Solanum lycopersicum: one gene and its partner. The main gene of each other region encodes a partner of the protein of the gene in region 2 in a complex. Links are inferred from orthologs where the notes say so. Each region holds a gene or a part of one and is shown on either strand. Other genes may lie near its edges. The genes, in order: nucleolar complex-associated protein 2 and nucleolar complex-associated protein 3.

Evidence for each region.
Region 1: nucleolar complex-associated protein 3 (region 2) and nucleolar complex-associated protein 2 share a complex: the UniProt entries of both Arabidopsis thaliana proteins name them as parts of the nucleolar complex. The link is inferred for Solanum lycopersicum from reciprocal best matches to the Arabidopsis thaliana genes AT1G79150 and AT2G18220.

What each region holds. Positions count from the first base shown.
Region 1 is NC_090801.1:61,731,981-61,749,217, forward strand, and holds nucleolar complex-associated protein 2, read right to left. Parts: upstream 10,513-17,237; 5' UTR 10,376-10,512; coding exon 10,357-10,375; intron 10,261-10,356; coding exon 10,136-10,260; intron 9,569-10,135; coding exon 9,497-9,568; intron 9,415-9,496; coding exon 8,854-9,414; intron 8,372-8,853; coding exon 8,066-8,371; intron 7,730-8,065; coding exon 7,673-7,729; intron 7,361-7,672; coding exon 7,031-7,360; intron 6,936-7,030; coding exon 6,729-6,935; intron 6,477-6,728; coding exon 6,390-6,476; intron 6,124-6,389; coding exon 6,029-6,123; intron 5,943-6,028; coding exon 5,814-5,942; intron 5,655-5,813; coding exon 5,390-5,654; 3' UTR 5,133-5,389; downstream 1-5,132. Other genes in the region: DOT (DOUBLE TOP), read left to right, coding at 2,735-4,102; UDP-glycosyltransferase 43, read left to right, coding at 12,046-13,491. UniProt on the Arabidopsis thaliana protein: Together with SWA2, probably involved in pre-ribosome export from the nucleus to the cytoplasm.
Region 2 is NC_090803.1:61,904,812-61,921,741, forward strand, and holds nucleolar complex-associated protein 3, read right to left. Parts: upstream 10,878-16,930; 5' UTR 10,752-10,877; intron 10,562-10,751; 5' UTR 10,550-10,561; coding exon 10,392-10,549; intron 8,256-10,391; coding exon 8,086-8,255; intron 8,004-8,085; coding exon 7,795-8,003; intron 6,660-7,794; coding exon 6,451-6,659; intron 6,327-6,450; coding exon 6,224-6,326; intron 5,284-6,223; coding exon 5,120-5,283; intron 3,992-5,119; coding exon 3,853-3,991; intron 3,552-3,852; coding exon 3,378-3,551; intron 3,303-3,377; coding exon 3,175-3,302; intron 2,538-3,174; coding exon 2,214-2,537; intron 1,993-2,213; coding exon 1,853-1,992; intron 1,753-1,852; coding exon 1,655-1,752; intron 1,057-1,654; coding exon 592-1,056; 3' UTR 380-591; downstream 1-379. Other genes in the region: uncharacterized protein At4g22758, read left to right, coding at 14,423-14,711, 15,552-15,730. UniProt on the Arabidopsis thaliana protein: May be required for synthesis of 60S ribosomal subunits and the transport of pre-ribosomes from the nucleoplasm to the cytoplasm. Also required for initiation of DNA replication.

The DNA of each region.
Region 1 (17,237 bases), on a different chromosome or scaffold from region 2:
TATAGTCATCTTCTTCTTCAATCATATTTCCTATTACTTTTCTAATAATACTAGTTCCAATGATCCAATCCTAAGTCAGTCTTTACTCGTTAATATTCGACTCAATACATATCACCTTAACAATTAGACATCATGAAAATGTTGATAAATGAATAGTAGTTAATAACAAAGAATAAAGACATAAAATGATAATTAGTTGTCTCTTATTTTTTTAAAATTAATAGAAATAAAATATATTTAACATACTTGGCAAGTAAAAATGAATGGAGAGTATAAATTATTTTCACACAATCTGGTTATTAAATTGAAAGATAGTTATAAATATTTTTTCTTTTTTTAAATTCATATAAAATCAAACTAATTCATATGAATCAAACGGAAAGAGTATACTATTGGATCGAAAATGAAAACTTGACATTGGGATGTGAAATAAAACCCTAGATCGAACAATTTGTTACTGATACGACTAGCTATACATACCACTTGTTAGAACTATAATTAATAGGATTAAAAATATGCTTTATTATTTGTGTGATGTTAATTATTGTGATGTTTAAACAAGTAGAAAAGACCAGGTGACACTTGAAATTTTAGACAAATCGGGTAAAAATGTTAAGTAACAACACAAAAAAATAGTTGCTGCCAACTTTCAATCTTGACTATAGTCTTTTGCACTCAGCCTTTTCTTTTCTTCTATTTTGACGATGTTGATTAATGAAATAAATAAAATTAATACATTTTCTTATTATTAATAGGAAATTAGCATTTCTTTTCTAAGATTGGTGGAAACAATTCATGTATTAAGGATAATAATAATAATAATTCTTTAAATTTTGTTTTCTCTACTCCAAAGTGATAATCTTGTAAAGCTTTTTGTATATTTTATTTTATAGCATGGAGAACTTTCTTCGTTAAATTTTACTTGCCCATTATAATAAAAATATATTTTGTTGTGTTTTGTTTTATAGTATGGAGAACTTTCTTCGTTAAATTTTTATATTTTATGTGTATTTATTTTATTCTATATGTAAATCGCCTTCTTCAGATTAAAAATCAATTAATATTGATATCGTAAAAAACACTCGTAGCAATTGTCATTTGTTAAGAAAAAATACCAAGTAAAGTTCAAACTTAGCACAAGTAAAAATAAATAAATTAAGTACTTATTTAGCAAAGGTCACGGTCAAAGACTATAACTTAAGTAGCAGCTCTTCTTGTAGTTTAGCTTTTCTTCTTTTATTGGTATCTACCTCAAAATATTTAATATCTTCGTCGTGAGTCATACCTAATCTTTCGTTTTGTTCGCTTTTATTTGTTCATTGTATAAAAAATAAATATTTTACCTTTACTTTTTACTCGTCTAGAGAAGAAAATAAAATTCCTTAATAAGGAAGATAAATTCACAAATAAATAGAAACAGTTTTCCTCTATGCAGCCTCCCAAAATTATTTGAAAATACTAACTTTTGAAAGTTGGTAAATTTAAAAAAAAAAAAATTAATTATGGTAAGTTTTAACTGATCATGATTTCATCAAACTTCAATTTAAGGTTGATTTTTAATCGATATTTTTCAAAAAATTAACCTTTTGGATTTAGTTTTTGACATTCTTTTAGCGTCATTTGATAGAATATATTGGAAAATCTAACACTTATATTAGTCCTGGTATTACTTAAATCTTTTATTTAGCAGGGTGTATAAATAAATGCATAACAAACCATGATATTATCCAATATCCATATATGGGCTATTAATACATGGGATAACTACCCTTAATATACCAAACCAAACGGAGGATAAGAAATAATTCCTCGTTTCTTTTGACATGTTATTTATTTTTAAAATATTTTTAGTTATTACTTTTGACATATTAATAAAAAATAATTATTTTTTTTTATGTTTTATCTTTAACGTTAAATACTTATTCTCCAAATCATTTTCCAAACCCTAATACTCCCTCTAAACAACTATAACAATATTTATCCACTTTATGAAATCAATAGATAATTTTACACTTACTACTTAATTTTACCCTTATCATTTACTATTTTAGTCATTTTCCCATTATATCAACACAAAGTATTTATTATATTCAAGAGGTGATATAAGAAAATTACATTTTTTAATATAGTTTCTAAAGAAATATACAAAGGTCAATAGCGGATGAGTATTAAACATAATTTTTTTCTCAATAGGCATGTCAAATGAAACCATAACGAGTGAAATGAATAAAGAAAATAGCTAACCTTACTAATAAATCGTATTCTTATACACTCTACTCACTAAAAGCAAACCTAGAACTCCATAGTTAATCAATCATAATAACTTGTCTCTTTATTTGTGTGTGTGTTGTCTGTTGAACTACAGTCTGTAGATTGTCCTTCCTTCCTCGGCCTTGACAAGAAAACACTGAAATGATACATGTATCCATCACTCCACCAACCAAAAAATATATGAAGAAACAAATGCTGCCAAAATTCCTATATAAACTCCTAAAACAAACCAAGAATCCAAAAGACAAACAGAGAAGCCAAAAAAGAGACTTTCCCTTCTAGTTTTCTGCCAAACATTCATATCTCTTTCCTCATTAGTGAAAAACTCCACCTCCTTAACTCACATGTCCACTGAATTTGAGAAACATAAAAGAGTAAAAATAACCTTAACTTTCCTTTTTACAACTCTCCTAGCTTCAAACTCAAAATCCCTTTTAGTATTATCTCCAATTATACTCTAAAAATGGAAGCTTTTCATCATCCCCCTATTAGCTTTCACTTTCCCTATGCTTTTCCTATCCCAACACCAACAACCAATTTTCTTGGAACTCCAAATTCATCATCAGTTAATGGAATGATCATCAACACTTGGATGGATAGTAGAATTTGGAGTAGACTTCCACATAGGCTTATTGATAGAATCATTGCTTTTCTACCACCACCTGCTTTCTTTAGAGCTAGAGTTGTGTGTAAGAGATTCTATGGACTTATTTACTCTACACATTTTCTTGAATTGTACTTGCAAGTTTCACCTAAGAGGAACTGGTTCATTTTCTTTAAACAAAAAGTACCAAGAAACAACATTTACAAGAACGTGATGAATAGTAGTAACTCAGGAGTTTGTTCTGTTGAAGGTTACTTGTTTGATCCTGATAATCTTTGTTGGTATAGGCTTTCTTTTGCTTTAATCCCACAAGGGTTTTCTCCTGTTTCATCTTCTGGTGGATTAATTTGCTTTGTTTCTGATGAATCTGGATCAAAAAACATTCTTTTATGTAATCCACTTGTAGGATCCATAATTCCCCTGCCTCCAACTTTAAGGCCTAGGCTTTTTCCTTCTATTGGTTTAACTATAACCAACACATCTATTGATATAGCTGTAGCTGGAGATGACTTGATATCACCTTATGCTGTTAAAAACTTAACTACAGAGTCATTTCATATTGATGGTAATGGATTTTACTCAATATGGGGTACAACTTCTACACTTCCAAGATTATGCAGTTTTGAATCAGGCAAAATGGTGCATGTACAGGGGAGATTTTATTGCATGAATTTTAGTCCTTTTAGTGTGCTTTCTTATGATATAGGGACTAATAACTGGTGCAAGATTCAAGCCCCGATGCGACGATTCCTACGTTCACCGAGCCTTGTTGAAGGGAATGGTAAGGTTGTTTTAGTTGCAGCAGTTGAAAAGAGTAAACTGAATGTGCCAAGAAGTTTGAGGCTTTGGGCATTGCAAGATTGTGGTACAATGTGGTTGGAAATAGAAAGAATGCCACAACAATTGTATGTGCAGTTTGCTGAAGTGGAGAATGGACAAGGGTTTAGTTGTGTTGGACATGGTGAATATGTGGTGATAATGATTAAGAATAATTCAGATAAGGCATTGTTGTTTGATTTCTGTAAGAAGAGATGGATTTGGATACCTCCTTGTCCATTTTTGGGAAATAATTTAGACTATGGTGGTGTTGGTAGTAGTAATAATTATTGTGGAGAATTTGGAGTTGGAGGGGGAGAGTTGCATGGATTTGGTTATGACCCTAGACTTGCTGCACCTATTGGTGCACTTCTTGATCAGTTGACATTGCCCTTTCAGTCATTCAACTGATAGTTAAACTGTTTACAAGTGGGGTATCAGTAGTACTAGTACTATGAATAGTGTTTCATTTGGACCTTAATTAATTGTATTTTTAGTGTTTAATTATCTAGTGTTTTTATATTACCAAGTCTTTAGTAAGAAGAAAGTTTGTACTCTACTATTGTTGGTTGACTTATTAATATGAGTTTTACATTGATTTGTGCTTATATATAGTTTAGTTAGGTATCTTTTTTTACTTCCTTTTGAAAATACCAAAGTAGAAAACCCTAATCATTAAAACAACAAGAATATCGTTATGTTGTCAATTTTACCGATGATTTTATTAGCATATCATAGAGTATTCGACATATTTACAGTACACAACCATCTTACAAATCTAATTTTCTAACTTTTTTTTGTAAATTTTAACCAAAGTTTACGATGGATAATCGATATATAATTAGTTTATTATACAAGCTAAAATTGTTAGGATCCCTCGTTTTGATTTGATTCTAAGTCATTTTTTTGCCACGTGGAATATAATAACCTCATTTGCTATAAGAAAGTTAATTTCAAAGTTATAAATGAAAATTAGCTTCTGGTTGATTAGTTGGTTTTTCTCTTGAAATAAGTGAAAAGTATGAAAAAAGAAAAAGTAAAACTTGTTCATCTCATAATTTTTAAGAGTGAGAACAAAATCAACTACATGCAATTATTGGATGTTAATGTTAAATTCTACATAATTTCTACCATTCTAAAACCCTTCTTATAAACTTCCACTAGGTATAGTATTGTTATATATGTATTGAAAAAAAAAACTTTATTAATTACTTTTGCATTTCACAAAAACAAATGAATTTGTGAACAAAACAAGTTTTTCGAAGGTTTCTTATTCTGAAATTTAAAATTTTCTGTTGATAAATGGTAACTTGTAACGTAACTCAAGTTGTAAGCTAAACAAAAGGCATTATACATAAACAGACACTCAAACTAAATCTCGTGTAGCAAGTACACACTCCAACATTGAGAGTGAACATAACTCGAGTTGTGATCAAAGGGGTACATCAAAAGAACGACCTCTATAAGTGCCAAAAAGAAATAGATCGATCAATGAATTACATCTCCATTCCCAACTAGTTGCGATTAGTTATGTATGAATTGTTATACGTAGTCTGCCCTACATGGCACGAAAATTTTTTTAGGATAAAGGAAAACAAAATTGATAGCTAACTAGTACAGTATAATATATTTTGCTTAGAGCTTACACTGGACAAACTGGCTTATGCTACACTGTTCTTGTTCCTTGTACAAGAATCATCAGACAGAAGATGCTGCTTGATTGGATTGCTTCCTTTTCTTGTTCTTCCTCCGATGAGTTTTCCCTTTCTTCTTTGAAGGCGCTTTAGATGGCTTTTGTTTTATGCTGGCTTCTTCATCAGAGGGGGCGTCACTCAAGGAACCCTCCTCATCATCAGAACTGAGAATAAAATCCTCTACAATGTCTTCGTCAAACGCAGTTTCATCTTGCTGATCCTTCCTTCTCTTCTTTTTCTGTTGTTTCTCCTCTGTAGACTCCTCATCCCTGCAAAACATTATACCAGACAAATACATTCATATACACCAACAAAATAAAGATAGCTTGTTGATCCCTTCCTGTCAGGTCTCAAGGGTTCTTTTCCTCTCGAGGAGAGAGTTATAGGTGGTGGGAATAGGTAAGTGGTGAAGAAGAATGTGAACGTACTTAGGAGTGCCTGCTGGTAGCCAAGAAGAACTGAAGACAGCATCTCCTTTGCTATCTTCAACATCATCATCTTCATCGCTTTCAGTTATCTTACTCCCGAAGGCAGATGAATCTTGGCCAACGAGTATACTGCAGATAGACAAGTTCATTACTTTATGATTAACAGAAAGATGTCTCCAGATAAAAATCTTAAGAAAAATAGAGTGTTGTGAAACCTGGATTCCTTTAATGAATCATTTCTCTGTTGTGCTCTCTGTCGGAGACTAGCAACATATTTTGATAGAGGACTCACCCCTGCATTCTTATCATCCTAAGGATAAACATGAAGGTCAGAATTGTTTCAAGGGAGCCAAATCATGAAAAAATGATCCCGTGGATTAATCCTAGACACACAAATCTCTATAACACCCCAACCTATTCGTGTTCGTCAGAAGGATGCTTTGATAAGTGGACAAAGCTTTCAATGTGTTCATTACTAACAAGAGAAGATACCAGGTATAGGTTGGTTGAAAAATGAAAGGTGATTGAATGAAATTTTACTGGTAATGAGAAAGATAAACATCAAGATGTTCAAACCTCAAGAAAAGATGCTGCCGCTGGGTCATTAGGCAGAAATGAAACTGTCATGCGCTTCTTATTTGTGTACTCCGAATTGGCTTCAATCTGTAGATTTACCAAGTCAACTTCAGGAACTTATAACAAAGGCTTCATTTCAGAAGAAACAATTGGTGCCAGCTAACAAATAGCCCATAATAGAATCTAAATGCAACTATGCAAAGTTAGATATCCCAGAATCGATACTGCAGAAGATCTTTTGAACTCAGAAAACTATGCAAAGTTATTAGTGCAGACATGTGACTTGAGAAAATAATCCACTCATATCAGCAAATAGAATCAAGTACCCAACAAACATACCTCGCGAATAATTTGCTTTATTTCGCGACGGAATCTATCAACATTGGTGGACTTGCAGAAGTTGCGTAACCTAACAACAGGGACAGAAGAGAGCTCAAAGAAACCAACTGAATAGCTCCATTGAGCAAGATGCTCAGCAAGTTCCTCAACCACAGAAAACACACATGCTTCCTGGAATGCTCTCGTTTTCAAAGTAAGCTTGCTAACCTGATACATCAAATATAGATTCAGACAGCTAGACAAGTTCTTGTAAAGCAGTACACTATTAAACTAAAGTAAGTAGAGAGGCATTCTAGAAGTACCCTTAAAACAGTACGGAAATCTATGGCTTTTCCAACTCCCCCTGTTGGAGGCCTACGCAATTCTTTTATTTCCAACATGTCTAAGAGGAGTGGGGAAACAGGAACAAAAGAATTGGTGGATGCAGCAATTCTGTTGAGCATTTTGATGCATCGCAATCTAAGGGGAAAATAGCGAGCAGTTGGAACCAAACGAGCTGCTCCAGAAATTATTTGCGTCAGCGGATAAGCCAGGGGCCTAAACTCAGGTTCTGAACTGTATGCACAGATAGCTGCAGTCCAAAGCTCAAGACAGTGTATATACTTCCACTGGTAAACCTTCAGAAATGATTCCTGAGAAGGATTGAAAACAAAGAAACTGTGATTGGATCCCCTAAAAGGCAAATATAACTACGAAAAGATATACAACATGTGCATAATACTGAAGCAACATAACAGACTGTAATTTCATGATCAACTTGACACTCTAAGCTACTTTGTCTCTTGAAAATTACAAATGAAGGCTAAAATGCATTTTCTCAACTCTTCAAAGCAGAATATTCTACCAGAACTTAGTTGACTAAAAGAGGGAAAGTTAAAAAGATCACATTTTGGTAACCATAATCCAAAACAAATAAAAAGGTGACAAGTTAAGAGTCAAAGTACCTTGCCCTTGGTATTGTGTGCTTCCTTGGATGATTGGTTAGCCTTTTTAGACGATTTCTAGGAAAGATTAGACAAAGGGATAACAATAATTAGCGGCCACTAAAAGGCAAGGATAACTTTCAGTAGGATAAGATGCTACCAGTAATGTAAAATGCTGAAGCCACTTGATACTCTTTGAACATCTTTTCAAACGTGAAAATATGAATTAAGCTAACATGTATGTTGGAACTATTAAGCCAAGTATTCTTAATCTAAAGTTATTTAAAAAAAAAAGTGCTACACAAGATACCTTTTTAAGTTTTACTCCTAAAAGATTTATAGAATAAGCTTATATCAATGGTTGGTAACAAATAGTCAGAAAGAAGACAAGTTATCAGAAACAAAATAACAAACCTTGGTCTTAGTACTACTATGCGCATCCCGTAAAATCATTGCCAACTGCCGAATGAAAACAAAGGCATGCTGGTACGCATTGGGAAGATCCACCCTAAGGAGTTCAACGAAACAATTACCAAGAAATTGAATATGCTGCAGCTTTGACGCATTCATGAATTGGCAGTTCAATAAATAAGCTTTATACATCCCTCTAATGCACTCATCAATGCAATCAGAGCCAAGCTGTATACACAGATCCCTTAGAAACAAAAAAGAGACAACTGGTAGTGCACCTCCGCCTGTACCCCAGAAATGAAGAAGAACCTGAAAAGTCAAATTATGCTTAAGCTTGATTCTTTTAGACAGTGTGAAGAATACCTCATGCAGAGAACAAAAGACCCATGTGACACGTGTATTCTGAAAAACAGAGAAGTCTAAACCGAGAGTGCTTCGCGAATATTTTTAAACTTAATTCTTATGGATCATAATTCAATGAATTTACTTAGTTTGTGATAGTAGGAAATAAGCAGTGTGCATAGTTTGAAGTGATCAAAGGCCAAACACTTAAAAGACCCCAATGACAAATTGAAGATAATTAGCTTTTGATTATAGCTGAAGCCTCAAAACAGCAAATTGCCTAACCAACTCACCACTGCCCAAAGGAGAGGGGGAATGGATGAAACATGCAAATCTCTTGCAAATAAAGTTATATTCTAGCAGAAGAAAACTGTCATTCTAGATTAATCATTCTTTGTACAAGAAAAGAGTTATGTGAATAGTAAGTATTAGATCAGTCAATCCCATACCTTTATATATTTCCTCAAAAGAACTGGAAAAGCAGCCAAAAATACAGATGAAAATCTGAGTCTTCGTAATGTAAATGATATCATTTCTGTATCTGTCATCTGATTTAGAACATGTAGCGCATTCCCAAGATATGATTTGACCAAGTGGTTGTTGCTCTTCCATCGTTTAGTTTTAGACATATCCTTTATCATCTCCTTCTTCCCACCAGAAGTTGGTAATTTCAAAAGGCCACGAAGAATTCCATCCATTTCTTTTAGAACAAATAACATTATCTTGTTGAACACAGTGCTAGACATAGTACTCCACTTTGACTTAGCATCTTCACCAGTATCATCGCCATAATGACAAGCTGTGCGGAAAGCTCTCATGAGAGACCTAATAGCCCCCGAACTCCTGTTTTCATGAATTGAACTACACCAAGCATCCACCATTGCAGTAGTGATGAGATTTGTGGATGACTTGACCTCCTTTCCATCTGCATGAACAAGTTGTTCAGTGTCAAATTCATCAGCTTCATCATCTTCGATTTCCTCACCATCCATTTCAGTCTCGTCATCATCCTTCACAAAATTGGAATAAGATTCTACAAACATTTCACATACCATGAGAACAATGAGAAGGGAAGATATTGTAAAGACTTACATCAGTATCCTCATCATCAAAATCTAGGAGATCCTTGTCATGCTCTTGCAAGAATTGATAGAACTCGGGATCCTACAGGAAAAAAAATGTGGCATATGCTGGTTAAATAGATTTAACAGTAATCAGTACAAAACATTATGGAATGAATATTTTGCACCACACTACTCTTGCACTGACTATATCAAAATGAATAGCAGATGTAATTACATTGTTCAATGATGCAAACAGGCTAAATATAGGAATGAGTTATAGATGAATGACCTTGAACTCTGTAAGGAAACCTATCCAGCTACATCATTGAATCATTATATTGGCATCGGAAGGAAATGGTGTTGGGATTCTAATACTCTACTATCGTATACTCCACAAAGTACCATCTCGGTACTGATTCTAAATGAAATTTTATTTTATCTGATAAAATAATGAATCAATAACCGACAGACGAAATTGGTTCTTTAAGCAACTTGGTTTGCTGCTTCTGGCACATCAAAAAGTTTGGCTGCTCATGTTTTAGTATTCCTCGAGTTTTTTCAAAACTTATATGAAAAGTAAAACTATTCATAAATAAAGTACTAAACACAGAATTGAAAGCACAGAAAGAAAGCAAAGAACTCATAGACATATCAACAAAAATCTCACCTTTTCTTGGAGTCTTTTCAATTGCTCCGCATGTCCTCCCACATTTTGCTCTGAAGATGATTTGGGCATCATTTCATCTGTCTTTTCTTCAACCCCAGAAGATTTTTTGCTCAATTTCTTCGATTCTGACATTTCCAAGCAACAAAAAAGAAGAAAAAAATAGCATGAAATAGGATGTAAAACATGAAAGTGCGTTGAAAGAAAAGAGTAAAAAAAGACACCTTTGTTCTTCATCCCCATTGATTGAAATTTGTGAGTTTCTTCCTTCTCTCGCTAAAACCCTATAATTTGCTCCAGGGTTTAGTGTTCCGAAGATTTTAGCTCCATTGACAAAGCTGAACAGTAGAAGACGTTGAAGTTGGGCTTATCGGAGTACTGATATTTTGGGTCAAAAAATATAGAGCCCAATGGTTGATTTACATTTTACACAAAGGTCCCTTTTTTGGGACATCATTTAAATTTTGTCCAAAATTTTAAAAGTTGTGCAAAAATATGACTTTGAAGTTAACAAGACTTTCATCTAACAATAAGTTAGATTGTTATGGCATTTTTTCATAGGATTTTTAATTTGTTAAAAAAGAAAATTTTGGATCGTGAAAATAAAGATTCATAAATTATAAGATGAAAAAAAAATATATTCAATAAACAGTTATTTCTAAAATCAGCGACTAATGGAGATCTTATGAACTAATCCCATTGTTTTGTATTTATTTTTTTTCCTTTTTGTTGGTAGAGAGTAGGAAAATATTTGTATAAATGAAAATTTAGAAGTTGTAACAGTGGTTGAATATATCCTCGTAGTAAGTACAATAATAGTTAATTGTATTTTCATAATTAGATAAATATTGTTTGATTCATTATTTATAATATACCTAAAAGAAATTGAAAAGAATTATACCTAAAATGATAGATAATCCATTAAACAACATTTTTAGTGAATTCAATCGTAAAATTTTAGACTTGTTCCAATTATGATTGATGTGTATACTTGTAAAAATAATAACATATTTATGCTGATTAATTTAACTATTCTTCAATAGACATAAAAACTTTAATATTTCAATAATACTTTATCATGTTCATGAGTTCGGAACTTATCATAATTTGAATGTAAAATTTGTTGGGTTAACAGACAGAAACCTTTTATTTTTTCTGACCAGAAGAAAGGCTTTGGCACTTTGTTATCTACTACCACCTACTACCCAATTGAAAAAGATAAATTTATGGAATGACCTACCTAGTGAACTCACATGCCTATTATTATAATTATAATTATTAAATGACCTACCTAATGAACTCACATGCATATTATTATTTTTAAGGGGTTATATATGAAAGTTTTTCTCTTTTTTTTTTTGGGAAAAGACTTAAATATGCCATTAAACTTTTAGAAAAGGCTCTTTTATATCATCAGTTAAAAGTTTGGCTCATTTATGTCATTACAGTTAAAGAAAAAGCTCATTCACGCCATTATTTTTAACGGTGATTTTGCAAAACCATTTTAACACGTGATTTGGCATCATCAATTTTTTTAATTAAAAAAATTCATTTTTTATTCAAAAATTTGATTTTTTTTATTTAAAAAATTGATGACGTGGCCAAAAACATAAAAAAAAATAATTCAATTTTTTTTTCAGAATTATGATTTTTTTAATTAAAAAAATTGATGACGTATCCGAATTAGAATTGACCATGTGTCAAAATGACTTGCAAAAGCACCGTTAAAAATAATGGTATGAATGAACATTTTTTTTAACAATAATAACATAAATGAGCCAAATTTTTAATTAGAATAGTAAAGATCCACCAATAAAAAAAGAAGACTTATAGAAAACAGTACTAGTACTTGATAATTTATATATAGTGACCACCTTATCTCCAATGAATTCAAGCCAAATCCTAAAGCAACCATGAAAAGAGGAAAGGTAGTGTTCATTTCAACACCAGCACTTGGCAACATTGTTCCAATTATTGAGTTTGCTAAAGTCTTCACTCAAAAAAACAAAAATATTTCAGCCACCATACTCTTAATTAACATCCCTCAAAGACCACTTGTCCAATCCTATATTGACTCTCTCACCACCGCCGCCACCGGAAACATCCATTTCCTCTCCCTCCCCGTGGCGGATCCACCATCGCTCGATCAATTCGACGCAACTATAGGCTTTTTATCGCTATTAATACAAAATCACACGTTACAAGTCAAAAATGCACTTATTGACCTTATTTCAGACTCGGACTCGGGGCAAGTTGTTGGATTCTTTATTGACATGTTTTGTACATCTTTTATTGATGTAGCTAAGGAACTAAACATCCCATGTTATCTCTACTTTGCTTCCCCTGCTACTTTCTTGAGCTTCATGTTGCATCTCCCAATATTAGATGCTCAAGTTAGTACTAATATTGAGTACAAAGATTCAGCCAATGATTTCAACATTCTTGGTTTTTCCAATCCTGTCCCTATCAAATGTTTCCCTTCATTCATGCTAAAAAGACATATAGATGGTTATTCTTGGTTCCTACATCATGCAAAAAGGTACAAAGAAACAAAGGGTATTATTGTCAACACGTTTCAAGAACTTGAACCATATTGCTTAAACTCATTAGTACATACTACAACTAGTCATGTTGTACCACCAATTTATCCAATTGGACCTGTAGTGGATCATAATGGACCAGCTCAGTGGCATCAAGATTCTTGGGGTCATGAAAATGTTATGAAATGGCTTGATAATCAAGAACCATCATCAGTAATTTTCTTGAGTTTTGGAAGTATGGGAAGTCTTAAAGATTCACAAGTGATGGAAATAGCAAAAGGTTTGGAGAAAGCAGGACACCCTTTTTTGTGGGCAATTAGAGAAGCACCGAAGGATAAAAGAGAACTTCCAAATGATTATACAAACTTAGAGGAAATTTTACCTAATGGGTTTTTAGAATCAACAAAAGGGAGAGGGCTAGTGTGTGGGTTGGTCCCACAAGTTACAATCTTGGCCCATAAGGCTATCGGAGGATTTGTGTCACACTGTGGTTGGAATTCGATTCTCGAAAGTTTATATTACGGAGTGCCAATTGGTACATGGCCAATATATGCAGAGCAACACTTGAATGCATTTGAGTTGGTGAAAGAGTTGGATTTGGCTGTGGAAATCACAATGGATTATAGAGATGGCACCACATTGGTTTCATCAGAGGAAGTGGCAAAAGGGGTTAAAAAATTAATGGATGGTGATGGTGATGGTGAGGTGAGACAAAAGTTCAAGAAAATGAGTGAGAAATGCAAGGATGTTTGGAAGGAAAATGGCTCATCTTCTAATTTTCTTGGACACTTGATTGATGAATTAATGGCTGTGATTTGAAGAAGGGTTGGCTAGTCCAAACTTGGTGGGCTTTGTTTGACTACAAAATTTAGTTGAATTTTATAAAGCGATGAAAATAAAGTTTTTTAGTTTATGTAATTCTACCTAATTATGTAATTTGGATTCAAAAATAATAATAATTAAAGTTACGATGATGAAGTACATTAATAAAACTTTTATTTTCTAAAAGAGCGTGAGTAGATATGGATTTTCTTTTTGTAATAAATGATGAATCTCAATTGAAATTAGTAAAGAACAACGTACTTTAATGTCGTTTGTTTTATAATTTAGCTGAATCGCAAAAATAGAGTTATTATTTATTCTTTCATAACATAAGAAAACTCCAATCATCTTCAAGAAATGTATTGACGTATTTCTAAGAAATATAACTTATATTTTGATTGTCTTATTATATAATCATTTTTTGTTTTAACAAGTTATATTAACGGCTTTAAGGCTAACAATTCTCGAAGATGAAATTTGAAATATGGTATATGACAACTTCCCTAAACTCAAATTCTTGAAATTATGTAATACCCTCGTTTTAAATCAAACTACTTCAAACTGATTCTTTTGTGACCTTCGTAAAAGTTTGAATAGAGATAAAATTTCAACTCAAATTAATCTAATTTCAACCTTGACAGTACTGGCTATATTTTAAATATATTTTGAAAAAAACTGAATATCACTTAAATAGTAGGTTGAAAACTGGCTACCAGACGCAATTCCTACTTTAGGCCTCAGCGGACACCCGACCCGACCCGTATAAAAAACTTGCGCAATAAGACTAGCTTCACTCTTCGTCTACATAAAGAAGAGAAAACCTCTCGACTCTTTTCATTGCGCTTCTCTTTAGATCTCACATCTCAGGTATCTTTCTATATCTTCAAATGGCGATTTTTTTTTCCTATTACTGATGCGTTGATCGATATAAACCCTCTCCCTTTTCCCAATTTCTTGGTATTTTTCTTGATTTTTGTAATGTTCTTTTTGTTGAACTCAGTGATGGGTTTGTGTTATTCTATTGATAAGTAAATTAGTTGAACTTCTTGGGTTATATTTTCAAGAAAATGTATGGAAAATTTTGGGTTTTTTTTGTGAAAGTAGGAAGAGGGTTTACATGAGAAGGAGTTTAATTGATCTCTTGCAAGTAAATGATAATTGACGACAAATATTTTACCGGTGGCGCGATAAGTTCATTTCTATAGCAGCTCTGGTTGTAAAGAATTGTTTTAATTAGAAAAAAAAGAGAGACAAATTTCATTAAGACGTGCAATGGAGACAATTTAGCTTATGGGTGTCACTAGTTAGGGAAGTTGGGTGGGTATCTGGTGTTTATGAAGTATAAGTTGCAGAATATGACTAGGGTTTTAACCCCTGCCCAGGAGCTCTCGCACCTTTTAGCTCCATTGGTGACTCGAACCCCAACCTTAGGGTTGGGGGTTGGAGGGTGATTGCCATGTGAGCAACCCGTCCTGTCGTATGACCTGATTTAGGTAGTTATGCCATGGTGTTTTTGGTGTATATTTGAAAGATAAATTACAGCACCACACAGTGTTATAGGAGGGTTTTGAATGACTGGACCAATTTATAAAAATTTCTTCATTTGGAATGTCCAGTGAGGTCTTCTCTAGGATGGCTTTGAGTGTGGAATTCATGTATACTGTATTGAATAACTGTACCGACCTCGGTTGAAGATTCAAGTGTTAAAAAGGAGATAGATCTAGTTAGTGTTTGTCTACATAGATTCTTCCCCTTGTAGTAAACAATAGTTCCTTAGCAGTTAAAGGCATGTTTAGTCTAAGTTGTAAGATTGCTGCAGTGTTTACTGAGTTTTAATACTATACCCACTCGGCGTTGTTAACTCTCGATTTTATAGTTCCTTTCTTTATCTCTCCTTTTTGAACAATGCTCTTAGATTTTTATTGGAATATAAGGAGTGAAAGTGTAAATGTACCAAACTTTAGCCTTAATCTACAGAAACCTAATATAAGATTTCTGATCCTGACAGCTAATAGTTTACCTTAGCTGCCTTAAATCCCTTCTTACAATTGGTCCTTTTTATAATCCCCTGTTCACCTTTTACAAAATTTTTTTTATCTTGGAGCAACATATAACCAATCTCTGGTAAACATTTGATGTTTTCTTAATTGAAATCTAGGATAATATTTAACCTTGGATCACATTGCTCCTGATTTGATTTCTTGAGAAGTTATCTCCGTCTTTGTACCAAGTGCAGACTGTATCCTGCATCCAATTAGTATACAATTGAGCTACTCTTAAAATCTTTTGGTTTCAATTGCAAGAACTGAAGTTGACACTGGTGGTACTAGCCTCCAGTCTGGCAATTGTATTTATATTACTCTAGTGGGCAAGCCACATCTTAGTGTTTCAAGTAAGAGTTATGACAAAGTGATTTGTCTTCTTTGCTTTTGCTACTAGTAAAATTCTACCAGAACCTACCAAATTCATGAGTCTGCAATCACTCAAAGTAGAGCTCTTCCCCACAAACAATTCTCCCTCCAAGTTTTTCACATTTCCTGTGGAACTTAATACGCAATAATGCTAGTGCTTTTTTCTTTTTGATTCAAATCCTAAGAAGTTGCACCATAAATTCTGTTATGTCCCCAGTCGTAATTCCTTTTGGCTCATTGCCGTGACTTGTATAATCTCTTCCATCTGCAACTTGCATTGTGATCTTGTTGCCCACAATGGCCTTGCTAATGATTCCCTTTTCGACAAACTGGACAGTATTTTCAGAAGGTTCCTTGCCTTGTTGGATCTCAAAAGGTGCTGGACTTGATGAAAATAATCCTCCTAATAATCATTGTTTAATCTGTCATTATCTCTTTTAGCTGCCCATTCTGTCTTGAGTTCCCATCGTTAATGAAGTGAAAGTGGTAAACAAGCTGCTTTGGTTGGTACCACTAAGAAATTGTACAGTTTGATGCCTACCAAAATAAAACGGAAAGAACAGACTTGTTATTTTCTTAATCTATAGCAGATAAATATAGATTAGCTGACACTGACCTCAAGTTAGAAGAAAAATAGAAAAGAAAACTCTGATCTAACTAATGATTTTTATACTTGTTATCTTCTGGCAATCCTTGTTGCTGCTCCTTATTTAGCTAACTGCATATTCAAGTTTTTTTCAGTTAAAATTTCTTCTCTCTAAATGTAATTCATTCACATGCCATATGGGCCTTAATTTTGGAATGCTAAACTGCCCCTGTTAGTTTGTTTTGAGAAGTACAGGGAAGGGTTAGCAGTTAGCACTCTGAAACATTTTTTTATGAGATAAGGAATTTCATTAAATGACATCATGAAGTGTCAGCTCCAACTTCATCTTGGGTATGTATTTTGCACTACTTGGCATGTATTGGACTATGCCAAACTCCTGACTTATCTGCTGCATAGTTGAAACAACGAGGGTCTCAAAAAGAAATTCCAAAAAACTTGGAATACTATTTCTCAGGCCATTTGGTGGACAGTTGGCTTGAAAGAAATAGCAGAATTTTCAAGGGAAAAGAAGAAATATACTTAGCCTTGAACACAAACGTATTTATTTGCTAGCTTTTTGGTGAAACCTGGTTCTTGTACATGATGTAGATGCAATGTTAGATACAATCGAGGAGTTGCACCTTCTTTATTCATGCATTTGCTTAGTGCAAGCTCATCTATGAAATCTCTTCTTACCAGTATCACTGTACACACACTTCAAATGTCCACAAGTTTATCCATACAGG
Region 2 (16,930 bases):
ATCGATGAAAAACTTTTAAACTTGTTATCTAGGAACTTATTAATAACTTAATGAAAGGAACACAGAAATTTATTAATAAGATTTTTAACCAAATAGGATCGACCAATTTCTATACAACCTATCTGAAAATATTCACATGCCTGTTCTTTTTTTCCTTTTCTTCTAAAACCACAGTTCGATAGTGGTACATGCAAGAATTTTGAAACATTATAAAGTGGTAAAGAGTCTGGGCATCGATACACAATGTAACTTCTCCATTCCCTTAATGAATAGTGTACACAAAACACTTGTCAGTGACAATAAGCCCTCATTTTTCTCTCCTCTTATCGCGATTAATAAGAGGATAAACAAAAAAAAAAATTGAAGAGAGGGGTCGGGGTAAGGAAGAAACAAGACATGCTCCAACCAAGTGTGGCTCTGGGACATATCTCTGGACATCGAAATAAATAATCAGATCCATACAACAGAATAGGGGCATTATGCCCAGTTTGTGCAAAACAATCGCGAGTTGCACTTTCCTATCCAAAAATAGTACATTGTGCTTTAAACTTTTTAAATAGATCTACCTACAAAATCGTAGACAACAAATGTCTACTTTGTTCTTCGTTTCTTCTGTTTCTTGTATTGTTCATATAGATTCAGAGACAATGTTGTCCCAACAAGTTCCCCTCTTAGTCTTTCATTTTCAGCTATGTCATGCAGCAGCGAATAATGCTCAGAGAGTTTCCTTTTAACATCATTTTCATCAACTTTGACAGTGGAATCGAGGTCAGCCCCCTCACTTATATGCTTTAGTGAGGCGTTTCCTTTTTTTCTCTTGGCATTGAGATCAACTTTTACGATGAACGAGTCCTGCTCAAGTGACAACTCCTTAAAAGCTTGTTGAGGAGATTTGTTGGACAGGTGAATCTGGTTATCACCAGTGCCCAACATAGAAATGTTGGATGCCATTGTAGAAACAGCTGGATGGTAATGCTTTGACAAGAGGTTAAGCTCCCAAAGCACTGAAGCAAGTGCACCACTAAGGTTCGGATCAGTTGCATAAGGTTGATATTTCTGCAACAGAAAAGAATTGGCATCAGCACATTCTAGAGGTTCAACTATTTACTGAATGAGTGGCACAATTGGGAAGCATTTCTTTTCATGAGAAGGGGGTCATTTCAGTATGAAGCATATAGTTGGTACTATGAGTGGCACAGAAAACAAATGTCATTGAACATTTCCACAGCTTCCCTGATGGGAAGTTCAATACATTACGATGACTTTAGAAAACACAATGAAAAGTCGAGAAGTACATTGCATCAGCACTGCCCACTCCTGAATATAGTAGATATAAATGCTCTAAAAAATTCCTATACCACCGTAGTGTCAACAGATTCAAGCCCTATGTTACCATGCCTCTGGTTCCTACCTGCCCTGACCCCCACCCAAAAGAAAGTATATAACAAAGCTGGGGAACAAATTAGCGGTGTCCGTGAACACAAGGGCTGAAGAGGTGGACTTCTCTTATTTTCTTCAGAAATATCATGTGCATTACTGATCCATATTCAAACTTCAAAGATACAAAAGTAAAACCAACTTATGTAAGTAACTAGTCAACACCGATTACACCATGAATGTCATATAATTAATCAAAAAGAAGACTGGTTCATACCGCAATGGCACCAGAAACAGAACCACCTCCAGCATCATTTTCTAATAAGTTCCGGCATTTGACGTTCTTCTGAAGAAGATGCTTCAAAGTCACCAAGGCTGCAATAGTTTGACAAATGAGATCCCTGAATCATAACATATATGATCTTGATTAAAAACAAATAGCAGTCTAGTGATGATTAGCAAAATATGTCGTTACCAGCCAAGGACTCTGCAGGCCCAGAGCATAAAGAGAATGTAGCTAAACGTTTTATAAAAGCTGCAGCCCTCTGCATGTCATGTTGTCGATCATCACAAAGCATTATCTTCAAAGCTTCAGCTAAGATCTCACCTTTATCCCTGCTTACAAAGAAGATGGCTAACCATGTTACTCTAGCCTTAGATGACGTAACCTCAGACTAATAGGATAAATATCCAACTCTGGTACTCAGAGAGGTGGTTGAAATGTACAAATCTTTCCTCCTCCCCAAAAGGCCGATGTGGGAAAAAAATAGGGTGGAAAGTTAAGATTACCAATGCCAAATAATTGAAACATAGTAATTTGATAGATAGAGAACTACCTTCCAGGCCTGTACTCAATTAACAGATTGTAAAGTTGGACAAAAAAATCCTGAAGATCAACATTCAGTGCGTCCAAATTGTTTCTCATCACTCTGAAAGCGACAATGCAACACTGGAGCCTTTCAGATACTGTCAGACATGCTGAAACATCCTTGGAAGAGCCATCAGAACTATTGCCACTTCTGGCAAGCTTTCTCAGATAATTCATGAGATCAGACATGAAATCTAAGTCAATAAGCTGGCAAAATTTCCCGATTCCATTAAGACAAGGAGTAAGAAGTGGATAACTTCCAGCTGGCTGAGATGAGAAACCTGCTTCTGATCTGAGAAACAATTACAGTGAAGTTATTTTCTGAGAAAGAATCAAGCAAAAAACATAGTGGGTTGCTATCAAATCCAAAGAGTTGGGCACTGAATCATCCAAAAAATTATCTGTCTTCTTTAAATTCTTAATGAGAAAATCAATTAAATAAGGAAGGAAATGAAAAGTGGTCTTCATTCTCCTTCCTGTTCGTCTTCCTCAGATATCCTCTTCTGATTTCATAAATTGATCTCAACTGCAAATTTGATTCATATACCTCGTTCTTTTATAGTGATGGCTAGTTAAAGTTTTGCAAAGAGAGAGGAAATGACTGACTGACTTGACAATCATGTGTTCTTTTCTCCTAGGATTTTCCTTTTTCTCTAAAAGCTAGAAAGCTTTCTACAAAGGATCATGTTTTTGTGTGAGATTCTCTACTTCCCTATACATTTGTATGACAGGATTTCTCATAAAATCAAAATACAATTTAACCAAAATAACAATAAACGACAGGTAGCCCGAAAATGGAAGCACAGTATTTTTCTTTCCTCACTGAGAACTAGTTCTATGATGTGGTTCAAGTTCAAACCTAGAGTGTTCATGATAATTGAATCCACTGATTGACATGCTCCACTCAATCATCAGCAAGAAAAACATACCTAGGCTTTATTGCATGCTTTAGGACACGAAAGTATGTCTCAAAGATAGCTGATAATACATCAGTCTGCATCCTTCTCCTTTCAGCAACATCGGTAGCTAATGAAGCAGCCTTCAATTCTGTGGTGACCTGTAAAAACATGAGATGCGCAAATGAACTTACACTTAACAAGTCCAGTCACAGATCATGTTGGCAAAAGAATACCTCTTCTCGTGTCTTTGACATCATCTCTTTCCGTGTTCTCTTTTTCTCGTTGGCAGCTGATTCTTTCTGCTCCTTAAGGTCCTTTCTTTTGGCATTTTTGCTTTTAAATTTATTCTTAGCATCTTGAGCTTCGCGCCTTCCAAGATCATCATCAAATGTCAGAGACATAAACACCTGAGCATGACAAAATCAAATTAGGAGGACAATCATTCTCCCACTGCTAAATCTAGTGTAGACCCTGTACTTGAATAGATGTTGTTGAGAGTATTAATTCATATGTGGACTAGCATTTATCGCCATCTTCTCTGTCAATTATTTGACACTGCCACCACATTTAACATTGGAATATTCACCTTTTTCCCAATACCCAAGATATATGCTTCAAATTCACATCATATTTAAGTTCAATATGTCATCATAAACAATCTTAGAAAAAATATCCTAAAACCAAAGTGTCGGTATTAAAATTGCAGACCTCAATGGAATCAGGATGTAGTTGACAATCAGAAGCTTTAACAAGGTCTGCAATCATTTGAACAGCCTCCACCGTTACCTCACCACCGTGCTTCCCCTCATTGGTGAAAAGTGACTTAACAGTAGCACAGCAAAGTTTCCTGTCAACAAGCAGTAGATAGATAAACTTGAGAGAACATAGTTGATACTTCAAAAACAGCATATCCTGGAGGCACAAGCGTATCATCAAAAAAAAAATTGAATATTCTGTTTCACAATCAGCATGCATCTATGGAGAGAGAGGACTAATCTACAAAACAATGCAACATATCTCAATAACTTTAAAGTGCACGAACTCTACAACAGATTTTCAAGCTTCGCCAATAAAAGCAATTTAGTATATCTTGAAATGACATATTAGCATTCAACTTGGACAAGACAAGAAGCAAAAACAACAACAAATACGGTGTAATCCCACATGTGGTCTGGGGAGTATAGATTGCCACTAAGACTAAGCTCACCTCTTTAAAACGAAAACTTCTTCTTCCACTATCAAAGCTGTTGAAATCAGGTCTTAGGCATAACTCACACCCAAAAGGTCTTAGGATTGCCCAATTCTTCAAGAAGTCCACCCATCTCATTAACCACCGATTTGGGACTTTTGTCATTCTTTAACACCCCATCTCACGCCCAGTGCTTGGCATCTGGTGCGTGGGCAATTTTTGATTTGTGGGGGTCCCAACATCGAGTGAGACGAGCCCTCTCTGATACCATGTTGAAATTAGGTCTTAGGCCTAACTCACACCCCAAAAGCTAGCTCAAAGGGAGGAGGATTGCCCAAGCCTTATAAAGAGTCCATCCACCTCATTAACCACTGATGTGAGACTTTTGTCATTCTTTAACAAAAGATTTTAAAGTTAATATTAGCAAAAAGTTGGCTAGGGATTTAATATAGCAAAATTAAAGGTTCAGCTTCATAATTTAAAGTTAAAGTATAAGTCTCAACTATTCCCTAATATATATGCCTAATCGAATTACATCAACTAAAACAGGAAAATATATTAGACATTATATATTGGATGAATGTAAAGCATTAAAGTAAACAAATATGTTGCATTGATTAACTAACGAGAAGCCCTTTTAAATCCTCAAATAAGCTTGTCTTGCATCCTCTGTAATGCCAAAGCAACCACCAGAAAAGGATCATAATGCAACCCAATTAAGGATTCATGGAGGGCAAAAGATACAAAATGGAAGGAAACGAAAGAGGAGCAGTAGGCATAATTTACCTCGATATGTCATCCTCAGAACTTATGTTTCTTATGACAGCACCTAACAAATTCTCACGGAAATTGAAGTGTGGAACTGCCTCGAGTAATATACAGATGCAGCGAACTGCCACACGTTTGTATACAGCCTGCTTTTCAACAGCTAGCAGTTTCTGTATATACGCCTGTTAATACCCAAATAGGAAAAGGAGTAATGAGCAAAATTATCCGACCCACACACGTACATATATATATTTGAATTATATTTGAATCTGCTATCCGACATATACGAGTAACATTTCTAAGGATGCAAGTTAAGTCTCTAAGACCATTTTGAAATAGGAAAATCACATTCTATTTCAAATTTTCTTCATCTCAGCAACTTACCTTCCTGATACGAGATATATCAAGAAAAATATTTGAGAAAACGTACAGTCATACTGATACATAATAACTTAGATTGTACCCATTTGATTGACCCACTTTCAAAGACAAATTCTTACTTTTACTTCTATTCATTTCATAGAAGTTGCTGCAGTATGTGAACATGCTTAACATAGGAGTCCAGCTAGCCCTTACACTCGTCAAACTTATTGACTCATTCTCAGGTAATGAATTTACTTTAATAATTTGAATTTAATATCCCACAGCTAAGATAATTCATACAATGCCCTGGACAAAAAATAGTTTGTCTGGTGTTTATTCAAACCTAATAACAGGTAGAAATATGTAAAATAGTTGCAATGTAATGAGAATTCAATAAGTCAACCTAAAATCTGGAGGAATACATTAATTATTACAGCAGCCCTAGCACTCTTATCTGCATTAAGTACCTCAAGATGCTACCATGTAACACCAGAAACAAGAACAGCTCAAAGAATATATGTTCCTGTGTTTCATACTTCTTATTCCAAACGAAGTACAATTTCTATGGAGTATGGTCTGAATTCGTATTTTTCCATCCACAAGGCAAAAGGTCAAAAGTCTGTTAACATAGTGCACTAAAAAGGTAGCACAATAATTTTCAAACAAAGAAATGGAACACAACAAAGTGGTAAAGCATGTTACTAACAATATGCACTAGCAGCTATAAAATGAATTCAGATGTCAATCAATTATTACAACCTTATATGCAGATAAGAGGGTAGATTCATAGAACCGCATTTTCTTAACAGCCTTTGATACTTTCATCTCCTGCTCCTTTTCAGTTGGCAGACGGATGCGATACCTGGAGAACAAATTGAAGAGACGTAAGAAGAGTAAATTGTTTACATCGTAAAGTTGACAAAAGAACAAAAAAAACTACAACAAGTAAACTAGAAGCAGCCCATGAACTCTTGCAAACTTCTCACCCGGGGATGATATCTCTGAAAACGGCCAACAAAGACTGAAGGGAAAGTACCGCAATGTCACGATCACCATCTTTAGAAATCTCCAGCATCTCCTTGAGAGATTTGATGTTTGATTCAGGATCAGTAAGCAGTGCAGTTCCCAGCTCAGCTAGTCTAAACTTCTTTTTTTGATTGGCCTCTTCTGCTGTCATATCATTTCTCACTTCGTCCTAACACCAAGGAAGTAAAAATCAATATACTTGTATCCAAATGTAAGTGTCTTTTTTTACCACAGTTAAGGTAATGACAATTTAAATCCTAGAATTTGAAGTAAACATCAGTAATATATACTTCAACAACGCCACTGAATTATAAATAGAATTGCAAAGCTATTTTCCAATTCATCAAATACAGAAGAGAATTATTGGCATTTAGTTTAAATTTTTTGTTTAAGTGATTGAACAAAGAGAGTTGAAGAGAGAAATCAGAAGAAGAAGGAAGTGATTCAGAAGCTGGCTGGGACACCACAGTTATCAAAAAAAGATGTGATTCCCAAGGAGCAGAAAAACAAAGGTAGTAGAAGAGAAGGTGCTACAAGCTCAAGAAGAAGAAGACAGCAGCAAAGAGGACACTAAAGTGTATATAAGAGAAGTCCCAAGTACACTTGATATAAAAAAGCCCTATTTTTCCTGTTCTTTTTTATTATTTGTCTTTTTTTATCCAGTGAAATTCGATTCAGAAAATCAACCGCTTCTTGTAAGTTTACTTTACACCTCACCATCTAAAATTCATAGTTTCTTCCATAAGGCAATAATCTCTTATTTTGCATTGCTACGTTATTTAACGATGGCTGATGGCTTTTAATAACAGTGGTTATTTTGTTGGAGAAGAATATAAAAATTAGCTCACAAAACTTCGTACATACTATATATTGAAAGAGTATTGACAAAAAAAGAGGAAGTGTGTTTGGGACAGCTAAAGACAGGTTTGTCATTCTGATTTTTGGGTCCGAGGGAGTATCATTTTCCAGAATAGTTCGCACAGAAATGCCTAGCTCAAATCACGCTACAACACCTCTTACAAGGATCACCCCAATCCAAGTGGTTTAAGATCTCCTCCTTTACCAAAATTAGGAAAACATGAAGCAACGAAACCAGGTATTAATTCCACTAATTAACAGTATAGTGACAGTGCAACTAGGGGTGCCAGCATTAACTTATGTAGTACCCAACTCTCATCATATATACTCTTTTCAAAAGTTCAAGTGCCTCTTTCACTCTTTGCATTGTAATCTACAATTTAAAATTACTTCAGGATAGATATTCAAGCACTACAGCATATCTTTTGGATATATAATGCACATACCAAGACTTCAGCTTGAGGTATTTGCTCAACATCTTCTACTTCTGTCCCCTCTTTTGCCTGTTTCTTGGCCTCTTTCCTAATTTTCTTCAATTTGGCACGCTTCTCTGCTTTAGTCAGCCTCACCACACTTGCATCAATACCAGCCTCTTTGTTGTTAGTAGTAGCTTCATCTTTATCTTCGTTTTCAGATTTTTGTGTAGCCTTTGGCACTGTATATCATGAAAAGACTCAATTAACGGTTACAGCAGGTAAAATACCGGGTGATGATGACTGAACAAGAGCTTTCAGTACCTGTCCTGTAATAAAGTTTTCCATCTAATGTCTTCACAGGAAGAGCATCCACAGGATCAACCTCTAGTCCCTGTTTTTCTGTTTCTTTATCAAGTGACTTCTTCTTTAATCGCCTTTCATACAGAGACTCTAGCTCATCTTCTTTCACATCGGCAACACGAGTAACATGCCTTTCCAATAACAATAATAAGATCAGTTATAGGACTTTAGAAAGTTAATAGACTTGCATAAGACTGGAATAGGAAATAAGAAACTTAAAGAAACAGATGTTCTAACTAAATCGTACTCTAATGTTGAACATAGCAAAAAATACAACTCAAGCAAATACAAAAGGAAACATCACTCTCACAATTTTTAAGAAACATAGCAACCTGTTGAACAAATAAAAGTTGCAGTGTCAGATAGATTAACCTGAAAAAGGGCCAAACGCCAAGGAAAACGTCAAGAGTGGGAAATGAAAACGACCCCCAATTACAGGGGCACCAGGGTGAACTATTCAATAATCCAGGATACTGTGAGAAGATTACAAGAGCTTAAGAAAATTCCAGGATATGGTGAACTTCTTCGAATTGGTGAATTATGGGCCCATTGACAAGCTACAAAACTAGGATAAGCATTAAACTAATTGAGCTCTGGAGCTTCTGAACAAAGAGTCAAACTGTGGGAGCTAAAGGTAATTTAGCGACCACTTAAAACTAGATTTTCGAAAAGGAAAAAAAAAGTTCACTGTGAACCAAACATTACTGCAGGCCGCAATAGAATCTGGCAGGAAAATATGCTCAGCTGTCAATCTTGTGTCAGTTTGAATAACTCATTCAGACGGGAGAGAATGGATTGATTGCAAATGAGCTATTATGCCTGCCAAAGCTCAAACATGTGTAACGTGGAAGAATTGTTTCCCTGATTAAACCCACTTCTGCGGCCAAAAAATGGATTCCGAAGTAGAAAAGGGAAGCAAATTCTTTGAGATAGACTTGCTTTTCTACCTATTTGATCTTTTCTAACTAAAATCTACTATTTGATCCAGCAATGTTTGTAGCACTTCAATAATTTTAAGTCAAATAACAATCTTAAGTTTGGAAATCCTGATCATGAGAGAGGAGTTTATTGGCCTCCCATTTATTTGGGGGAAATGTAAAATACACAGTTGGATCATCAAGTAAATCTTTTTTAATGATGAGATGATTTTGGCAGAAAGCACCAACATAGTACCCTTCAATGCCAGAAGTTTAACCTTTTACCTATTGTATCTTGGAAAATACTCTCCAACACGTCACTGAATAGAATTTTTCAATAAGAGATGAGCATGAAGGCAAGGATAACACCAATACAGTGGGAAAAGACACTGGCCACTTAGATAAAGCTCTAGCATACTCCATATAGTACATTAATATGTGGAAGTGTCAAATGAAGCACAAGTTATACAATAGATAGGTATCCTACAATTTTTTGAGATAAAGGTAACTCGTATTCATAGAAAACTCAGCACCAAATGCCGAGGGAGAGGATTTACAATTACAAAAAAGGAGTATGGGGGTTCATTTGTACATCTATTTTCTTACACTTTGCCTATGAAAATCTACTAAATCTCCCATTTCCCCCGTTAAAACCTGCTTATACCAAAAATAGATAAGGCTGAAGCTATTCATCATGATCTTCTGAATGGAATTTCTTCTATCTTCAAAATGTCTTAAGTTTCTCTCCCTCCAAACTGTCCACCATATGCAGGCTGGAATACTTTGTACTCAATCCTCCTCTGCCTCCTTTCTTCCAACTCCCTTCCTACATAGAGCTAATTTCCCTCTAGGCATTTAAAATCGTTCTTCCATGATTTTTCTTCTTCTTTAGGAAAATCGATATCTGATCAACCGGTCATATGTTTTTATCAGGTTGATCAACCGATCATAAGAGACGTTAGGCGAAAAACCCGTTTTTCCGAAAATAACTAATATCAAATATAATTTCAAATATAAGTCTCTCCAAATCAATTAAACAGTATATTCCCCTTGGCAAGAGCTGTGTCTTTTCTAGTTTTCGGATATGTAGACTTGTGAGTGAACATTTTTCAAACAAAAGAGACAGATTAATACATTCAAATCATCCAACTTACCAAATCAAAATGAAAATTTTTCGCTATCTATGCATCAATCCACAAAAATAAAGTCAAAAACAACCTAAAAACATGTCGAGAAATGCTCATTTACAAATAAAATTTATTTTAAAAAAAAACAAACATATCTGTATGTGCATTAGCTCCAACAACATAGAGTGAGAATAAACACATATACATGCCAATAATTGCTTACTTATTAATTGACTTCGTATCCAAATTCGACAAGAATCCAGTATATTCTCGATTTTCGCTTACAAAAAGCACGTCTTCATCTGATACTTCGACTGCTTCATCAGGAACTTCCGGTGGAAGATCAGGAGGTAGCACAATCTTTTGCTTTTTCTTCCCCATTACTAATAATCTCTGCAAGAGGTATATTACAAACTGTGAGCTTCTAAAATCAACTAAACATAACCTGAGCTTCACTAAGCAAAAATTTCAACAAAAAAAGAGTTACTTGCTTAAACGAACACGAATATTAGAACACAATCACAAAATCAAAGTAGCACAAGCAAATAATCGGTATAATATGCAGAGAGAAAGATGAACATACACTTTAATTTGATTTTTTTCTCTTGAGAGAGAATGATTATAGTATGGTGTTTTTGCAGAAAGGGAGGGAGGAGGGAAGCGGCTGAGTGTGAGAAAATTAATTTGAGGGCTCAAACTGAATTGGAGCGAAAGTTTGGGTTTGGGTCTACTATTTCTATCGGCCCATCAAAAAAAGAAATATGGGCTTTCACCCAAGTTCAGATGTAAGTGCACAAATAGCCAATGTTGGGTCATTTTGGCTAAGTTTGCAAGTTTTTCCTTTCTTGATAATAAATATCTAAAGATGTACTATTGATTCAATCTGATAGCTTCACGATCGATAGTTCAGTGTTGGGTGTAAACATTTAATATAAAATTTTCGTTCTTTGTTCATGTGATGCCAAGGGAGTGTAAAGAATGAATAGAGAAATTTCAAACTTTGTTTATTGTTTATTGAAAAAAAGGTCTCAAAATTTTGGTCGAAATTGTTGTTACGATACCAAACGTTATAGAGGATCTTTTACCCGCGTGCATTTCTTAAAATTTATCTTAAAGGAATATGTGTGCGCACGTGAACACATTACTATTTAAAATGATGCAATTTTTATGATGTTCACTTGAGCGCATAGATACCTTTAAAATACACTATTAAATAGTGTTGGGTAAAAGACCCTCCATAAAATTCGTCATCGTAACTACAATTTCAATCAAAATCGAATATGTGTCAGATATTTGTGAGCTTAATATATGTCCCTCGATCCTTTTAATTATAAAAGTCTCTTTCGTAAGTTTATGAAATTATACATATGACTGGATTTCAAGCACAAATAATAAATTTTATGAAAGTAATTCAGGAAGTATTTTTTTTTTTAGGAAGTAGGTTGATAACCTAAACAGCATATACTCTCTTTTGATTCTCTTTCTTGTTAAAACTAATTTTATAATATTTTCTTTGATTGGTAGAGATCTTTTTCAAAATGTTATTTTCTTTGTAGGTAACATGTTGTTCTGCAAAATGATCTCATGTACCATAGAGTCATGATCTTTGATCTCCAGATCTTTAAATTACGTTTTAAATTAGTGAAATTAATTAAATAAGTTTGTCTTGTTTACCAATTATTTTAATAGTTCGAGTCCTTTAGTTCACATTGTTTTGATCTCTATAATTGGATTGGATATTTAAATGTATTGGTCAATTACAAACGGAAAGTGTAATACATTAAAGATGTTTTCTTTAAAATTACTAGCAAAAAGACAGAGTGTATAAATTTTTTAATTATGACTATAATATTATGTTTCTTGCTCATATTATTGGTATTGTGGTTATACTTTTTTTCTTCTTCTATAGTTTCCATGATTATATGTTCAAATAACCCATCCAAAGCCTAAAAGAAAAGAATTGCTTTTGCTTCTCATTTAATAAAATTATAAGTAAAAGTACTTCTTAAAGAAAATATAATATCTAGATTACAAGATATGTCCTTTAAAAAATTAGTATATATTACTTAAAAGGTTGGGTCCCTAAAAAGTTTTAATTTTTAAAAATTAAAAGACACAACTTCGATTCTCAAAAGTACTCACTTTATTCTTTTTATTTATTTAATTTTAATTTTTTATTCGTAATTTTTAACATACCAAAAAAATAATATTTTCTCTTATTTATTATAAATACGTAAAACTTTTCTAATGGATAAATTAATTTTAGAATTCTATCAATTAATAAGGGTAAAATAATAAATTTACTGTTAATTAGTATTATTTTCTTAATATTATGTATCTAATAAAAATAAATAAATAAACAGAACAAAAAAAGTTCTACGTAACTTCACATTTCATATTTCAATTTTTCACTATATATAATTTTCAATATCCAGGGCTAATATTCTTTTTACATCATAAAGTATATCTGGCAATATATTTATTTTTGTACATTTGTGGCTTTATGCGAATGAGCCGTATGTGATTAGAACTGTTCAGTGATGCTCATCCCTGTACAATGAGTCGGTGCAGTTTATCCCAGTCTTCTAGAAAGAACCATAAAAATTTTAAAACAAAAAATTTAAGCATCCTAGGGGATGATAATTAATCGGATCATAATGAATTAAGATAAATTTAACTAACTCAGCATATATTTAGAATGTGTTTGGTATGAAGAAAAATATTTTCTAAAAAATATTTTTTAAATTTCTCATGTTTGATTGCGACAAAAGTTTTGAAAAATGTTTTTCAAATTTAACTTATTTTTCTCAAAATTAAGGAAAATAACTTCCCTTAAAAATTAAGAAAAAACAATTTTTTCAAATCTCTCTTTCAATTTCAAATTACATTTTTTTTAGTAAAACATCAATTTTTTAAAAAATAAAAATATTTTCAATTTCAAAATTTTATTTTTTCACCTGATTCCTGACCACCCTCCACTCCAGCCCCCTTTCCCAAAAAAATAATTTTATTTTTAATAATTTTTTCAACTTCAAATTTTTATTTTTAAACTCCTGCCTCCCCGGCCAGCCCCCCTACCCACCCTCTACCAGCCCCCCACCCCAACTCCTCAAAAAATTAATTTTGCTTTTTAAAAATACTATCAACTTCAAAAATTTATTTTTTCACTCCTACCCCCTTCCCTGCCTCCCCCACTACCCCCACCCCCAAAAAAATTGTTTTTAATTTTTTTTTATTTCATAAATTATTTTCTATTCTAATAAAAATAAAAGATGTTCCTCAAAAATATTCATTCATAAATCAAACACTAAAAATCATTTTCGAAAAATATTTTTTACTCACCAACCAAACATGAAAAAATAAATTTAAAATCTATTTATTTTCCACGTTAATATTTTCTAGAAAAACATTTTTTATGAAAAATATTTTCCTTCGTACCAAACACATCCTTAGATCAAAAGAAAGTTGGATCAAAATGAATAACGTAATAAATTATATAATAGATCAAGACTTAATTAAAATTATATTTATTAAATTTCATTATTTTATTTAGTTTTTATAACTATTTATTATCTAATAAAATTATTATTTTTTATTATAATTATATATAGCAATTCAAATTAAAAAGTAAAAAAAGAATTAAATAATTTTTTCTGATAAAATTCTTTTATGAATCAATTGGAACTTCACGGCAATTAATATTCTGTAATCAGTTAGTGTTATAAAAAAGTTTGAGCTAATAAATCAACCACCCAAATTTAAACGAATTAAACGGGTTGAATTTGATTTTATTAATTCTACACCAAGAAGGAAAAGAAAAAGGAAAAGGAAAAAACAATCGCTTTATTTAGCAATAATCAGAAAGAAAGAGAAAATCAGAAACATCTATATATACAGGAAAACAAAAACCCTAACCCTAATTCTATATAAACCACTATTATTCTTCATCGCCAGCCCAAACTCATCATCCATCGTTGTTTTTCTCTCGAAAAAAACTTTGTTTCTTTCATCTTAAGAATTGTTTTCTTTCTTTTTCTTTCGAATTCCATTGTGAATGGTAGAAATCCTCAAGAACTTGTTAATGATCTCCCCTTTAACACCAAAAAGGGGGATCTCTGTTTCATCTGCTTTCTCCTTTGGCTCTTGCAAAGAAGGCTGGTACTTCCGCTGCCTCGGCGTTGACCCTTAAACGCTGTTCGCTTTTCCCACAATTTCTCGAAATCGTGATTTTTTCTTCTTTTTGCTCTGATTTGTATGATTGAAAATAAATTTTGGAAAATTATCAGAAAAAAATTTGAAATTAAAAACAAGATGTTGCTTTACAAGCCAAAGAAGAATCAAACCGGAAAAGGTAACCGGATTTTGATTAGTATTACGGTTCTCGGAAGTGCCGGTCCGATCCGGTTTGTTGTTAATGAAGAGGAGCTTGTGGCTGATGTTATTGATACTGCAATGAAAGCTTATGCTAGGGAAGGCCGCCTTCCTGTTCTTGGTTCTGACTTCAGTAACTTTGTGCTTTATTGCCCCAGTGCTGGCACTGAAGGTAATTCTCACTATATCATCATGTATAGAAATATAATAGATGTTGTGCTTTTACCCTTTTTTTATAAATTATATATATGGGTGATTTGTTTGTGTTGTATCTAGCTTCGTTTGTGTTTTGTTGGTGAGAATTTTTGGTCCGCTCTTTGTTTTTTGCATCAGAAAATTTTAAACTCGTGCTGATTATCTAGTTGATGTATTCTGAATTGTGTTGTATTGAGATTTCTGCTTGTTAGGAAGTAGTTTGTTTTTTCTGTAGCTTTGCTTGCTTTTATAAATTAGCTGGCTTTTGTATAATTTTGCTGATTTGACGATGCTGATTTATTTGTGCAAACTTGATTTGTTAGATCATTAAGTTTGCTCTTTGTTCCTTGCATTTGGTTGCTTTTGTGATTATGTTTAATAACTTGTTCCTGTTATTAGTTTGATTATCAAGTTGCATATGCTCGAGTTTGTTGTTGATATGCTATAGCTGCTTGCTTCAACTTTATGATTAGTTTGTTTAAATCATATGAACAATTTGCATCTGGTACGATTGTACGTGTGTTCGTTTTGTGCTCTAAAATGCTTTTAATGTTCCAACATTGTAAAATTTTGGTGTTTGTTGGAGAAAAGGTCAAACTGTTGAGAGCTGAGGGTATATGGGGAACTCCTTCTGTACCCTCTGATCTGCCTATGCACTTGCCTTCTCAGACCCTGATTTGTGGGATTACGCTGTGTTTGATGTACCGTTGGTGCTCACTCTAAATTAGTAGATGAACTGCTTGTTGTCCCGTGTTATAGAGGCTCTTGTTTTTTGTCCCAATGGAGTATTTTACTTGTGCTTATGTTCACATTGCAGCTCTTGGTCCATGGGAGACTATTGGATCGCTTGGAGTTCGGAACTTCATGCTGTTCAAGAAGTCATCACAGGGCGAGAAAACAGCCGATGGTGGTAAGCAGTCACCAATCCGGAAGGGAGCTGGAAGCTGGAAGACATGGTTTAACAAGTCAATCAGTAGCAAGATAGCATCTCACTGATCAAGTAGACTCGGTCTTTTGAAATCTTTCTTCTATGCGTCTGTCGCAATTCGTGTGTTCACATGCGACCCCTAATAAACAAGTGCAGTATTTGTGTTTTCAATAATGGCAAAGTAAAACCCTTTGTCAGCTTTTGAGTTTTTGAAGTGTGTTCAATGTGTGTTAGTTCTTTGAACTGGGTAAACAGTCTCGTTGGTGTTTCAGTAGTCAAATTACAAGCAGATATTTTCTATGAAAGGAATCCTGTTCTCTTTGCATTTATATTTATATTTTAAGCATGCTCGTTACGGGTAAATGAGTAAGTCATCTCTAGACTCAAAAGCAAATTATATAGGAAATAACAAGTACGTATAGAGTCGAGCTCTTCTCGAGTCAAAAAGGATCTAGAGGTGAGCACGATGCTTGATACCAAAATCACAGTTTAGTTGTACAAGATACGCTTAATGCCATAATCACAGAATTTAGACAAAAACTAAACCTCGGAGATTAGTGTGTAATATTGAAAACAAGGGCGGAGATTAGTGTATAATATTTGACCCAACACAAAAGTATTTTAAACAAGTGCGATAGAAAACTCAACCTAGGAGATTAATATGTGATACTGAAAACAAGGGCGGAGATTAGTGTATAAATATTTGACCCAACACAAACGCATGGGCCATGGCTGTTTAATGGGGTGTCATTTTAAAGGCACAAGAAAGGATATTCTGTTTTTGGTCTTTCTCTCGTGCGGTCTTTACTTGTCAATTGTGAACAGATTAAGAAAGAATAATTTTTTTAATTAATTATTTTGAAAAAAATAAGAATCTTTTAAAAATATTAAGTTTTTGATTCATCAACTTCATAAAGTAACAAGATTCATTATGTAAATCATTGTTTTCTTTTAATAGGTGTAACAATTCAGAAGTGGTCGAGTAAATTAGAGATATGAGTATTTAAAGTACAGAAATATACAACTTAAAATATTATAATTTCTTAAATTTTGATTATAAAAATATTCGAGAGTAATGTATTATTTGCAATGTATTAGCTGAATGAATGTGTCCAAAAAATTCGGGAACTTCTGGGATATAAATATCAAAATTTTCCAAAATTTTATGGGCGGCCATTCATGATTTCCTAACGAGTGGAGAAATAAAAAAAATTATTCGAATATTATAAAAATAAGTTTCTAACGCAAATTTGAGTGTCAAAAATTTT